Linked DNA regions of Schizosaccharomyces pombe. Changing the gene in region 1 together with any one later gene gives a genetic interaction. Each region holds a gene or a part of one and is shown on either strand. Other genes may lie near its edges.

Region 1 (3,601 bases):
ACGACTTTCGTTTAGCAGCTGAAGAAATTTGGGGCGCTTTTTCTTTTAATTTTAATACAGATTGATATTTTTCATTGACCGCAATCCCCGTCGAGATAACATTTTTATCCTCTGTATTGTTTTCACGGTTACAATCACGATATTGAGACAAATGCGACGCTCTAAGGGTTTTGAAGTTCCGTTGGGAAATATTTGAAGATATAGCACTACCAAAATTTTGACCGTTTTCTGAAATGTGTTGTTTGAAAGGACATTTATCATGAATACTTGTTGAACAAGTAGATGAATTGATCGGGCTTGCTAGCAAGGGAATACTAAATATTGTTATAATTTGTTCTTATATATTATTTTCTTACTAGTTAATAAACTCAATATCGTCTTCCTCGTCGTTTAGTGACATGCTGTTTGAAACTTGCATTGTTCAACCTGAGTAAACAAAAGGTGTAAACAAATAGCAACCAAATGTCAATAATCATTGTTACTCTTTCAGGTAGCATATTCGTGACTGCTTTTTTGCTGACATTTCGAATATTTCGCAATACCCTAAGAATGGTAACGCAGCAACTACCAACAACATGGGTAAAGTTCACGGATCTCTCGCTCGTGCAGGAAAGGTGTGTATTTAATATAGGTAGAAGTTTACAGGCATTAACATTTTGTCAGGTTAAATCTCAAACCCCCAAGGTTGAAAAGCAAGAGAAGCCCAAGCAGCCCAAGGGCCGTGCTTACAAGCGTCTTCTCTATGTTCGTCGTTTTGTCAACGTTACCAACATGGTCGGTGGCAAGAGAAGAGTAAGTATTAAAATTTAATACAGTTGTTGAAATTCAATTCAGATTAGCGAGTACTTGATACGTTGATTGAAACATTCGTGTTATTTATATTATTGTTGATTAATTGCTAACTTAATTTTTCAGATGAATCCTTCTTCTTAAGCAGTTCGCACGCTTTTTCTGGCTGTATTATTAAAACTCCTTTACATACCTTACGAAATGAGTTAAATAAAAGAACTTGCTCACCATTTTTTAAATTATCTTTTTGTAATAGTCCTTTATCGTCTTCATGTATACTTCCATTTTCTAGTAAATTTTTTCTCATAGTACCCGATAGAAGACCTGTATAAAGGAGGTTAATTAAATATCTGGCTTATTCAAGCTTTTAAAAAATGTGTAAAAAAGACATTAGTTATCTCGGTACTTACCATGCTTGAGGCTGGGCGTTATCCATTGGCCATTCCGGTGAAAAGCAACATTAAATATTGTTGCTTCTGTTACAAACCCTTGATGGTTGTATAACAGAACGTCTTGTGCTTTTGAGTATTGGGCATCATTGCGGTTCATTGCTTCAATGTAAATTGCTCGGTTGGTCATCTTATTAATGCAGGACGGGTTTTTCTCGGTAGAACTTGGTTGCTTATCCAGAATTAATGTGTACGGTGCTTTTTCTAAAGTTTGAATAGGAACAATTTGAACAGTAACGTCTCCAGCTTTAGAAAGTTCCCACCTTACCTATTATGTTTAGATCAATGTATAAAGTTTATAGCAAGCATACTTACCCTTGCCATGGAAGTATCCTGAACCGCTTCTCGTAATTTATTTTCGATGTATTGCTCTCCAGGCCAAGAGTATCCAAGAGACTTTGCCGAAGCTTTCATTCGCTGCAAGTGGCTTGGCAGCAAAAACAGTTCTCCATCATAGAGAGTGGTTTCAAATAAATTTGATTCTTCCATTCCACTGTGCTGGTCAGAATTATTCTAAAGTAAAAAAACCCAAAGAGTAGAAAGACTTAGAATTTCATATTTATTGACAATAGAATTTAGTGACAAAAATTCAAAAACTTACAAACTAAATCCTTGACTATACTACTTATCAACTGATGTAGTTAGTGGTAGCAAAAATCGATTGCTCAGGCACAGTATATTGTGTGTAAGTTGTATAGTAGTGGAGAAACTTCGAAAAAATATCAACAGAAGAGAGAACTTATGAGTAGCACACTTAGAAAATTGGACACCTCGTTGGTTTTTATTTATTTATTTATTTTTTTAAAATGAAGTCGAATCCATGCCATTACTACTATTACTAAATTAACAAAACAGCCATTTTAAATATTTGCATATGATAAATTTTGTAAACACTATAATATAATTTATTGGTGTTTAATAGTTCGAATGCAAAGTTGAAATACTTAAACAACAAGGCATTTAATTAAATAGATTAATTTTTAAGATTCAATTTATTAGCTTAGATGAATTTTTTAGTATGTTTGACTAGTTCTGTGTCATATAACTTTGGCAGCTACCAATCTCCCACTGTGTTACTTTCGACGTCGGTCCTTCGTTATTTAACATTCTTTAAATCTATTCCTTTTTTTGAGGTTTTTTATTTATCCTTTTTGAGGACTTAACTGTGGCAAGGAGTTTCTTCTCCTGTTTTATACATTTCGCGTTCGCGCTTTAGAACATTCAATCAATATGTCTTCTAGAAACGCTTCAATTGCTAATGGTTTGTCAAGGGGTTACTTCTTTGAACTAATATTTTAAAACAGAAAGAACTGATGAGGCAAGGATGTTTAATTTTTATGAAAAAATGCCTAAAGATACAAACACAGTGCGTGTATTTGATCGAGGGGTAAGTATTGATGAATAGAAAAATTTACTTAAACTTCGTAAAAAATAACTTGAAATATTATTATTTTTTAATCCAATCTAACACTGTTTTCTAGGAATTTTACGTTGCAATAGGAGAAGACGCTTCGTTTGTTGCTCAAAACGCGTATCACACTACTTCGGTGCTAAAACACCACAATGTGTCTAATACATCTTATTGTAACTTATCTCCTTCACTATTTATTAAGTTTGCGGAAGATGTTTTAAGCAACCTTGCAAAGAGAGTTGAAATTTGGGGAGCCAATTCCGCAAAGACAGGATTTGAATTGTTGAAGCAAGCTAGTCCTGGAAATATGCAAATGCTGGAAGATTTGCTTGTTAGTGAGAATTATCAAGAATCCACAGCCATTAGTGATAGCTCAGTTAGTTCGGTTTTGTTGGCTGTTACTACTAGGGTTAAACAAGATCAGCGAATAATTGGCGTTGCTTTTATAGATCCAATTTTAAAAAAATTAGGTGTTTCAGAATTTGTTGACTCAGATGCTTATACGAACTTTGAAGCTCTCATAGTGCAAGTTGGAGCGAAAGAGTGCATAATATCGCAATCTGGGCATGAATCGACGAATGGCAATTCAGCCGTTTCTATTAACACGGCAGAAATCAATCGTCTTCGAAATATTATTGAAGGTTGTGGCGCATTAGTTACAACTATAAGAAGCTCTGAATTTTCGGCTCGAGATGTTGAACTTGAGCTCTCAAAAGTGCTCGACAGTCCAGTTACACATGCTCTTGTTCCAGAACTAGGTCTACAATTAGCAATGGCATCCTGCAATGCATTGCTTCGCTATTTAGGACCTGCGTTACTAAACCCTGACATGGAAGACGACCGTGAAAACACATCTCGAAAGCTCCATCTGTATCATCACAACTTGGAACAATACATGCGATTAGATATTGCAGCAGTTCGTTCTCTTAACCTACTTCCTCCTCCCAATGGT
Region 2 (7,773 bases), on another chromosome or scaffold:
CAAATATTCCTAGCATGTCCCTTTCTTTTTGCTGCCCACGAAAAGATGGACGAAGACGTCCTTCTTCCAAAATTGAATCACCATCTGAATCCTCGGAAGATGAATTCATATCGACATACTCATTTTGCATATCAACCCAAGAATTCAATATAAATAAAAACCAATGAAAACCGAAATTTTCTATTTTGGGTCAGTTCTCCAGTGGGTTAAATATGGATGTCATATAATGAGTTTTTGCGCGTTACGTTCTTAAGCTTAAGAACACGCGAAAACGTCATTATTTATTTTATCTTGTCAGCAATACTACACTACGCTATGATACACTACGTTGCGTATCACTATATGTCATATGTTGGAATACTAGCTAAGATCCGTTTATTGATAATCACGGGTAACTATCCGTCTATATACATAGTTACCCGTTGATAACAACTATTTAGAAATATTATAAATACCGTTACAACTGAACCTCGTTCCTCAGTTCAGTTATGAGCTATATTAGTGATAGGTAACATTATAACCCAGTTAATACAATACCTATACTCAGTTGCTACTTATACAACCTGTGTATTGTAATATAATAGACCACAAGGAAAACTCACCGCAGTTCTACGTATCCTTAAATCAGATACCAAACTGCGTAGCTTACATATCTGAATAAGGACATTAGTTGCGCAAAATATCTATAGCTCTTCAAAAAATATCAAAATATTAAATTACAATACAAAGCTTTTTATTATAATAAAATTAAAGTCGTTTTTTTTATTGGAAACCAGAAATAATAATTATGCAGCTAACCTATTTTATTATCTGTTTACAAACTCTTAAGAAACATTAAAAAGGGCATTATACCAAAAAATTCATATTTTACTATTTGGCTTTCTTAACATCATTGGAAACATCCATACCAGCGTCTGAACTGGACCGTTTAGGAGGAGAATTAGTGTCAACAGAGTGAGTTTTGGCGATTAACTTTTTCTCTTTAACTTGAGCTGCTGGGACTTCAGAATTGCTTTTATTGGAATCAGTGTTTTTAGAAGCTTCCAAACTTAAAATTGCAGGGCTATCTTTTTTCTTCGATTGCTCCAACTCTGCTCGCACTCTAGCTAAGTTCTTTTCCAGCATGCTCAACTTCAACTTGTTACGCATCTCGAGTTCTTTTCGGATGTTATCTAGTTGTTTTTGATGCGACTGAGCAACTTGTTCCTCAACATCCTTCTGTAAAATTTCTCTGCGCTTTTCCCATTCCTTTTGCACAAAAGTAGTAAAGTCGGCAGTGGAAGTCGAAAAGTCAGATATGGACTCGTTGAAGATTACTTGAAATGTAACTGATAACATCTCTTCTGTCTTTTTTAAGTTTTCCAAATCTTTAGTATCAGCATGTACCGAAGCGGACTCTGCTTCCTCGGATGACACAACTGTCTCTTGCAAAGCTTTCACTTGATCTTGTAAAACCTGATTTTGTTTCCTGAGTAATTCGTTTTTCTGTAGCTCTTTTGCAATTCTCGAACGTAACCTCAAAACTTCCTGTTGCATGACTTTCTTCCTTTCCATTTCTTCTTCGTTGGGTATTTCAGTATCCTTACTGGTTCCCTCAGATTTATTACTATTTTGTCTGACCTTCTCAAGCTCCTCCTTCGTAGTATTTAAGATATCCATAATTTCACTTAGCTTTCGCTGTGTAGAAGATAGTTCTTCCTTAGTGCTATTGAATTCTTCCAGTGACACCGTACTTGGTTCAGACTGTGTAGTAGCAGTGGGGGTTGCAGAAGGTTTGTTGAGTTGTTCATTGAGCTGATGACATTCCGCAACCTTGGCTTCTAATTCAGAAGTCTTTTGCGAAAGTTGTTGACGTATTTGATTGTGCTTTTCTAAGCTCTTGTTAACTACCTGCTCATATTTAGTTCGCCAAGCAGCTGCTAGTTTTGTATTCTTCAACTCTAATTGTTCAATCTTGGATTGGTTTTGCGCTCTCTCATTTTCCAAATCTTCGCTTTTTGATTTAACAGTTTCCAATTCAGATTTCAAATGACCAATTTCTTGATTTAACTCCTCTATTAAGTTTTCTTTGGAAACAAGTTCATTCTTTAAGCGTGAAGCATCACTAGACGTAGATGTGCTACTGTTCAAAGATAGTAATATTTCTTGGTTATGACGCTTGTATTCTTCGTTGCTGTTTTCAAGCTTTTTTACAGCTGCTTTCTCTGTTTGAAGCTGTGATTCTAGTTGTTCTTTATTAAGTCTAAAATTCGCCAAATCAGTTTTAAGAGTTTCTATTTTCTCTCTTAACTCTGTGATAACTTCCTCGTTCCTTTCTAAATTTTCTCGGAGAGATTTGTTGCTCTCATTTAATAAAGCAACCATGTTTAGATAATTTGAACGTTCCCCAACGGATTCAGAAGTACTGCTAACATCCTTTTCCGTTATACCTCTTTGCAGATCGGCGATAACTCGATTCGATGATTCAACGGTTCGCTTGAGTTTCTTATTTTCAAGGAATAATAATTGTCGTTGGCATGAAATAATCTCCATTTCTTTGGATATACGCTTCACATGATTCTGTAAATCTGATAATCCTAATTTCATAACAGAATCTAAATCCGGGGATGGGCTAGTTATTTCTGCAAAGTTGAGATTGGAAGATTGAAGTTGGGTTAAAAGCATTGCGTTTTGCTTTTTGAGGACATAAACTTCCTGTCTCAAAGGATCTTCTTTTTCACTAATGGGAAAGGGCTGAGATTCGTTTATACCGGCCTTTAAGGCTATTTCTTTATTCAAATCTTCAACCTGTTCTAATGCCTTCGTGTAATCCTCGCGCAGTTTTTGAAGAGTCGATCTAGCATCGGCATGTCTTAAAAGTTCCTTTTCATAATCTTCACGAGTTTTTCTTAAATCTTCAGTTACCAACAACAACTGTTGTTTATAATCATTCTCCTTCTCTAAATGTTGCTTTTCAGCATTTCGGTGTGACGAAAGCTCATTGTTAAGATGCTTATTTTCCTCTAAAAGCAAGGCAACTCTTGTTTCGCTATCTTTAGTAATATTCTCACAGCGTAAAGAAGAAGAAGCTATCTCATCTTGTAGAATAACTATCCTTTGTTCAAGAGAAGTGATTTTTAAATGATTTTTTTCCAAGGACTCTGAAGTTTGCAATCGATACTCATCATACTCAGTTTTAACTCTTTCAACCATTTCTTCGGCGAGTTTGCTTGCGGCCTGTAACTGTTCAATATTCCTTAAAGAATAATTGTATTGGGATTCTAAGGAAGTATGTTTAGATTGCAAGTCACTAAGCGATGATTCTAGCAAAGCTTCCCTTTCGCTATAGGACGTATTTTTTTGCTGTGTAAACTTGGCTTCCAAAGTAGAAAATCTTTGTTTTTCAAGTTCAATGACGCCGTTTAATTCTTGGAGTTTTATTTCCATCATTTGTTGATTATCTAACAATTTCCTGTTGTCTTCACTTAACGATTGTTTTTCGAGCATTAATGTCTTAATCCTGCTGGAGTACTCAATTCCGCTCTTTTCCAAAGATTTCTGTAGAGAATGAAGATCATTACTCATCTTTTCATTTGACTCCTTCAACTTCTGCAAGGAAAGGCTTAAGCTTTCCTTCTCAGATTCAAATTTTACTTTTCTAGCAGCATCAGATAGCTGTTGCTGGTTAAGAAAAGTTTGAAGATCTGATACAAGACTCATTAGTCTCTCGCGCTCAGCCAAAAGTTTATCGTTTTCAGATATTAAACGCTCTTGCGTCCTTTTCCGTAAATCTTTTTCACCCTTCGAAGCATTTAGTTCACCTTTTAATCTTTCAGCAAGTGAGTTAACATGTAATAATTCTTCGGCAAATTTACTGGCTCTCTGATCCTGTCGACTAATTATATCCTGTAAATTTTGATTAATACTACGAAGCTCCTTGGCTTCCTTTTTAAAGGCTTCAACGTCATTATTAGCATTAGTTAATCTATCAGTAGATAACTGCTGCTGATATTTGGAATTTTCTAACTCTTTACGTATTGCTTCCATCTCACTCAACAAATCCTGATTTCGCTTAGACAAGGATTCCTGAATAGCTGTCATTTCGTTACGATAAACTTCGTAATTTTTCTCAAGTTCTCTTGTAGATTCATCAATGGATTTCATTTTGTCATCAATATTGCCCGCGGAAGAATTGTGAGACAAAATACTGCTTCGAGAAGTAGCTAACATTTCTTTCAGTAAATTTCGTTCATTAAGTAAGGACTCATTTTTTATTTTTGACGAATTTAACTCACTTTCCAAATTTTTGATTTGCTCTGAAAGTGTATTTGAATTTTCTTTAACTGCATTGGAAATTTGATATTGGACAGTTTGCTTTTGGATTTCAACATCGCATTCAAGGGCCCGCACTTTTTCCCGCAGTTCTAGAGTTTTCGAAACAGCTTCCTTTATAGATGAAAAATTAGCAAGCTCCTTGTTTACTAGTGTCTCAGATGCAGTAGAGGGATTTTGAGCGTATTCATCAAGCGCAACTTGCACAGTAGCGGGAACGTTTCTTGATTTAGTTTCATTCAAATGATCAAGTTCGGCCATGAGACAAATAACTTCTCGAGAAAGATCACTGCATTGAGTACGAGATGCGGTGAGCTGCAAGTAACAAGCTTCTTGGCGCATTTTGGTCGATAAAAGCTCTGCTTGTACTTTGGTTAGGTTGTTGTTAGATGTTTCCAAAGATTCGCTAAGAAAATTCATATAAATGTTATTCCTAACGATTTCACTCCTCTGTTGTTTGACAACTGGAATCCTTTGTTTAACTTGTTCACAAAATGAGGAGAATTTGTTAGTCAAGCGGTCTAGCTGAAGCTTTAAGCTAGAAACCTTCTGTTGGAGTTTCATATTGTCCGAATATACTTTCGTAAATGAAAATTCGGGATTTTGAACGGCGCTTAACTTTTGCGCCAAAGGAGAAAACAAACCTACACCAGCTGAAACAGAGGTATTTTTATTTTCTTTAACCACTTGTAGTTCACTAACTACACTATCATATTTCTCTTGCAGTTCCCGCAAACTATTCTCCGAAATCAATAGCTGTTGCTTGTTATTATTTAACTCTTCGGTCACATTATTGTATAGACTTTGTTGCGAAGTGAGCTTTTCTTGAAGTGCAGCAACCTCTGATTGCAACTCTGAAGATTTAGACTCCCAAAGAGCTGTAAGTCGTTTCTGAGTTTCCACTTCTTCTTCAAGTTCTTTGATTGAAGTGGGGTCGGTTTCAAGGATTTTTGATATGTTCCCATCGGAGGAATAATTGCTCCGCTTTTGCTCAAAAAGCTGTATTTTTTCGTTAAGCTCTGTATTCTGTTGGGCAAGCCCAGCAAGCTTTTTCTCCAAATCTTGAACTTGACGAGATGAAACTTCTAATTTTTCGCAAACTTTCGAATGATCTGATTGCAAACTAGCCAAATCAGAGACTAAAGCGCTTTTCTCCTGAACGAGTATCTCTTCCTTGACACGACTGCTACTGCTAGCAAACATGTGCTGTTTCTTTCTTTCTTCAATATCAGACAATGCTTGATGCGCACTCTGGACTTGCTCTCCTAAATGTGAATTTTCATTTTGTAGGGCTTCGATTTGATCTTTCGCGATTGAAAGCTGCTCAGAAGCAATCTTAGATTGCTCTTGTAATTCAGAGTTAGCCCTTCTAAGCGACTGGTTCTCAGTAGTCAATGCATCAAAGCGCTTATTTTGATTCTCCAAGTTGGTTTTCAGCGATTCGTTCTCATTTCTCAATACCGATATAAGATTACGTGATTCCTCTGCTTGATTATTAGAAGATTGAAGTTGTTGCTCAAGAAAGTTAATCTTCTTCGTAAGAACATTCTCCTTATGCTCATGGTTGACTTCTTGAAGGACAAGCTGATCCTTTAAAGCGTTTATGTCTTTAACCTTGGTTTTAATAGCAGATATAAATACAGCGAAACCATTGACAGACACCAGGGGTTTTATATCCTCAAAAGATACATCCAAAAACTCGTGTACCAGCTGAATATCATCTTCAAGTCCCCCCGAAGACATTTTCTAGCCTGGAATCAACGTTCGATGACTTATGAAGCACCAGTGTACGTATACGAGAAGTAAGTGATCAACCTCGATGTACAGAAATAATACCACGTTAGAAGAAATGCGACAATTACGTTGAGAAAAACAAATGAAGCAAATTTAAAAATTGTAATTACCGTGAGTATTAAAAAAAAAGCTAAATTTCTGTATTCTTCTCTATCACGCCTTGAACGTATCTTGAGTAGCAGTGCACTATTCGGACCTGTCGTCCACACAACACCAATTTTGGTGACTTTACTAATTATTTAATCAAATATCATCCTAGTGATGTTTGGACAAAACAATTCTTCCGGATTTGGAGGAGGAACCGGTGCTTTCGGTCAAAATAATCAACAAACTGGTGGGTTATTTGGTTCCAACTCCAATACTCCAGGGAACACTTTGTTTGGTTCCCAAAACACTTCTACAACTGGCTTTGGGCAGAACACTACTCAACCCTTGTTTGGATCAAATACGAACGGTGGACTATTTGGAAATAGAAACAACACTACCACGACTGGTGGCACAGGTTTTGGAATGTCCTCTGGGACAGGTATGTTTGGCCAATCCAATACTCCTGCTTTTGGAGGCACGAACAACGCCACAAATCCTAGTGGTGGTGGCCTCTTTGGATCAAATACCGCCAACAACAATGCAAATACTGGAACGTCATTTTCTTTTGGATCGAACGCTGGTTCAACAGGGTTCGGTAACACTGCATCGAATACTGGTACCGGTGGTGGCTTGTTTGGTTCTCAAAATAACGCTGGCAATACTGCTGGAAATACAGGTTTGGTTCGCAAGGTACTGGTGGTGGCTTGTTTGGTTCGTCCACTACACCCGCTACGACCAACGCTTTCGGAACCTCTGGATTTGTCTCAAGCAATGCAAACGCTGTGAATGGTACAGCTAACCCACCTTATGCGGTAACTTCTGAAAAAGACCCTCAAACAAACGGTACTAGTGTCTTCCAGTCTATAACTTGTATGCCCGCTTATAGATCTTATTCATTTGAAGAGTTGCGTTTACAAGACTATAATCAAGGACGACGTTTTGGCAATGCTTCTAGTACGAACACTACTTCTGCATTTGGTTCAACACCCGCATTTGGAGCTTCAACTACTCCGTTTGGTCAGAATTTGTCAGGTACCACAAATAATGCAACACCGTTTGGTACATCGAATGCTACTAATACCACTCCTGGTTCCGGTCTCTTTGGCGGTGGATCTGCATTTGGTAGTAACACTACCAATACAGGGTTTGGTTCTGGAACAAATAATGCATCCGGTGGGTTATTTGGTCAAAACAATAATACCACCTCAACTCCTTCAACCGGTCTTTTTGGTGGCTCTACATTTAATCAACAAAAACCAGCTTTTTCAGGTTTTGGCTCAACCACTAACACTACCAATACTGGTACAGGAACGGGTCTTTTTGGTTCAAATAACGCAACCAATACAGGAACAGGTCAAACTACGGGTGGCTTATTTGGTGGTGCTGCCACTGGTACGGGTACGGGATTTGGTTCTTCTACTGGGGGGTTTGGAAGCAACACGAATAACCAACCCAATTCAGGTACCATGGGTACAGGTTTGTTTGGTTTTGGCGCTAATAATAATACGGCAAATAATAACACCGCTCCAACATCTACTTTTGGTGGTAACAATAGTAGTAATTTTTCCTTTGGTGCCAATA

Evidence for each region.
Region 2: mutations in abz2 (region 1) and alm1 are lethal when combined (synthetic lethality), as found in Schizosaccharomyces pombe (one study listed by BioGRID).

What each region holds. Positions count from the first base shown.
Region 1 is NC_003423.3:2,346,410-2,350,010, reverse strand, and holds abz2 (4-amino-4-deoxychorismate lyase), read right to left. Parts: upstream 1,953-3,601; 5' UTR 1,840-1,952; exon of another isoform or gene 1,732-1,839; 5' UTR 1,728-1,731; coding exon 1,554-1,727; exon of another isoform or gene 1,507-1,553; coding exon 1,200-1,506; exon of another isoform or gene 1,156-1,199; intron 1,114-1,155; coding exon 899-1,113; 3' UTR 805-898; downstream 1-804. Other genes in the region: SPOM_SPBC19G7.04 (protein-DNA covalent cross-linking repair protein), read right to left, coding at 1-314, 357-400; rps3002 (40S ribosomal protein eS30), read left to right, coding at 576-614, 664-792, 916-933; msh2 (DNA mismatch repair protein), read left to right, coding at 2,469-2,499, 2,543-2,625, 2,720-3,601.
Region 2 is NC_003424.3:3,190,662-3,198,434, forward strand, and holds alm1 (nucleoporin Alm1), read right to left. Parts: upstream 6,107-7,773; 5' UTR 6,055-6,106; coding exon 871-6,054; 3' UTR 786-870; downstream 1-785. Other genes in the region: ntr1 (RNA-binding splicing factor), read right to left, coding at 1-130. UniProt on the Schizosaccharomyces pombe protein: Maintains the proteasome and its anchor cut8 at the nucleus envelope and is required for kinetochore component proteostasis. Proper kinetochore stoichiometry ensures the correct attachment of kinetochores to spindle microtubules during cytokinesis.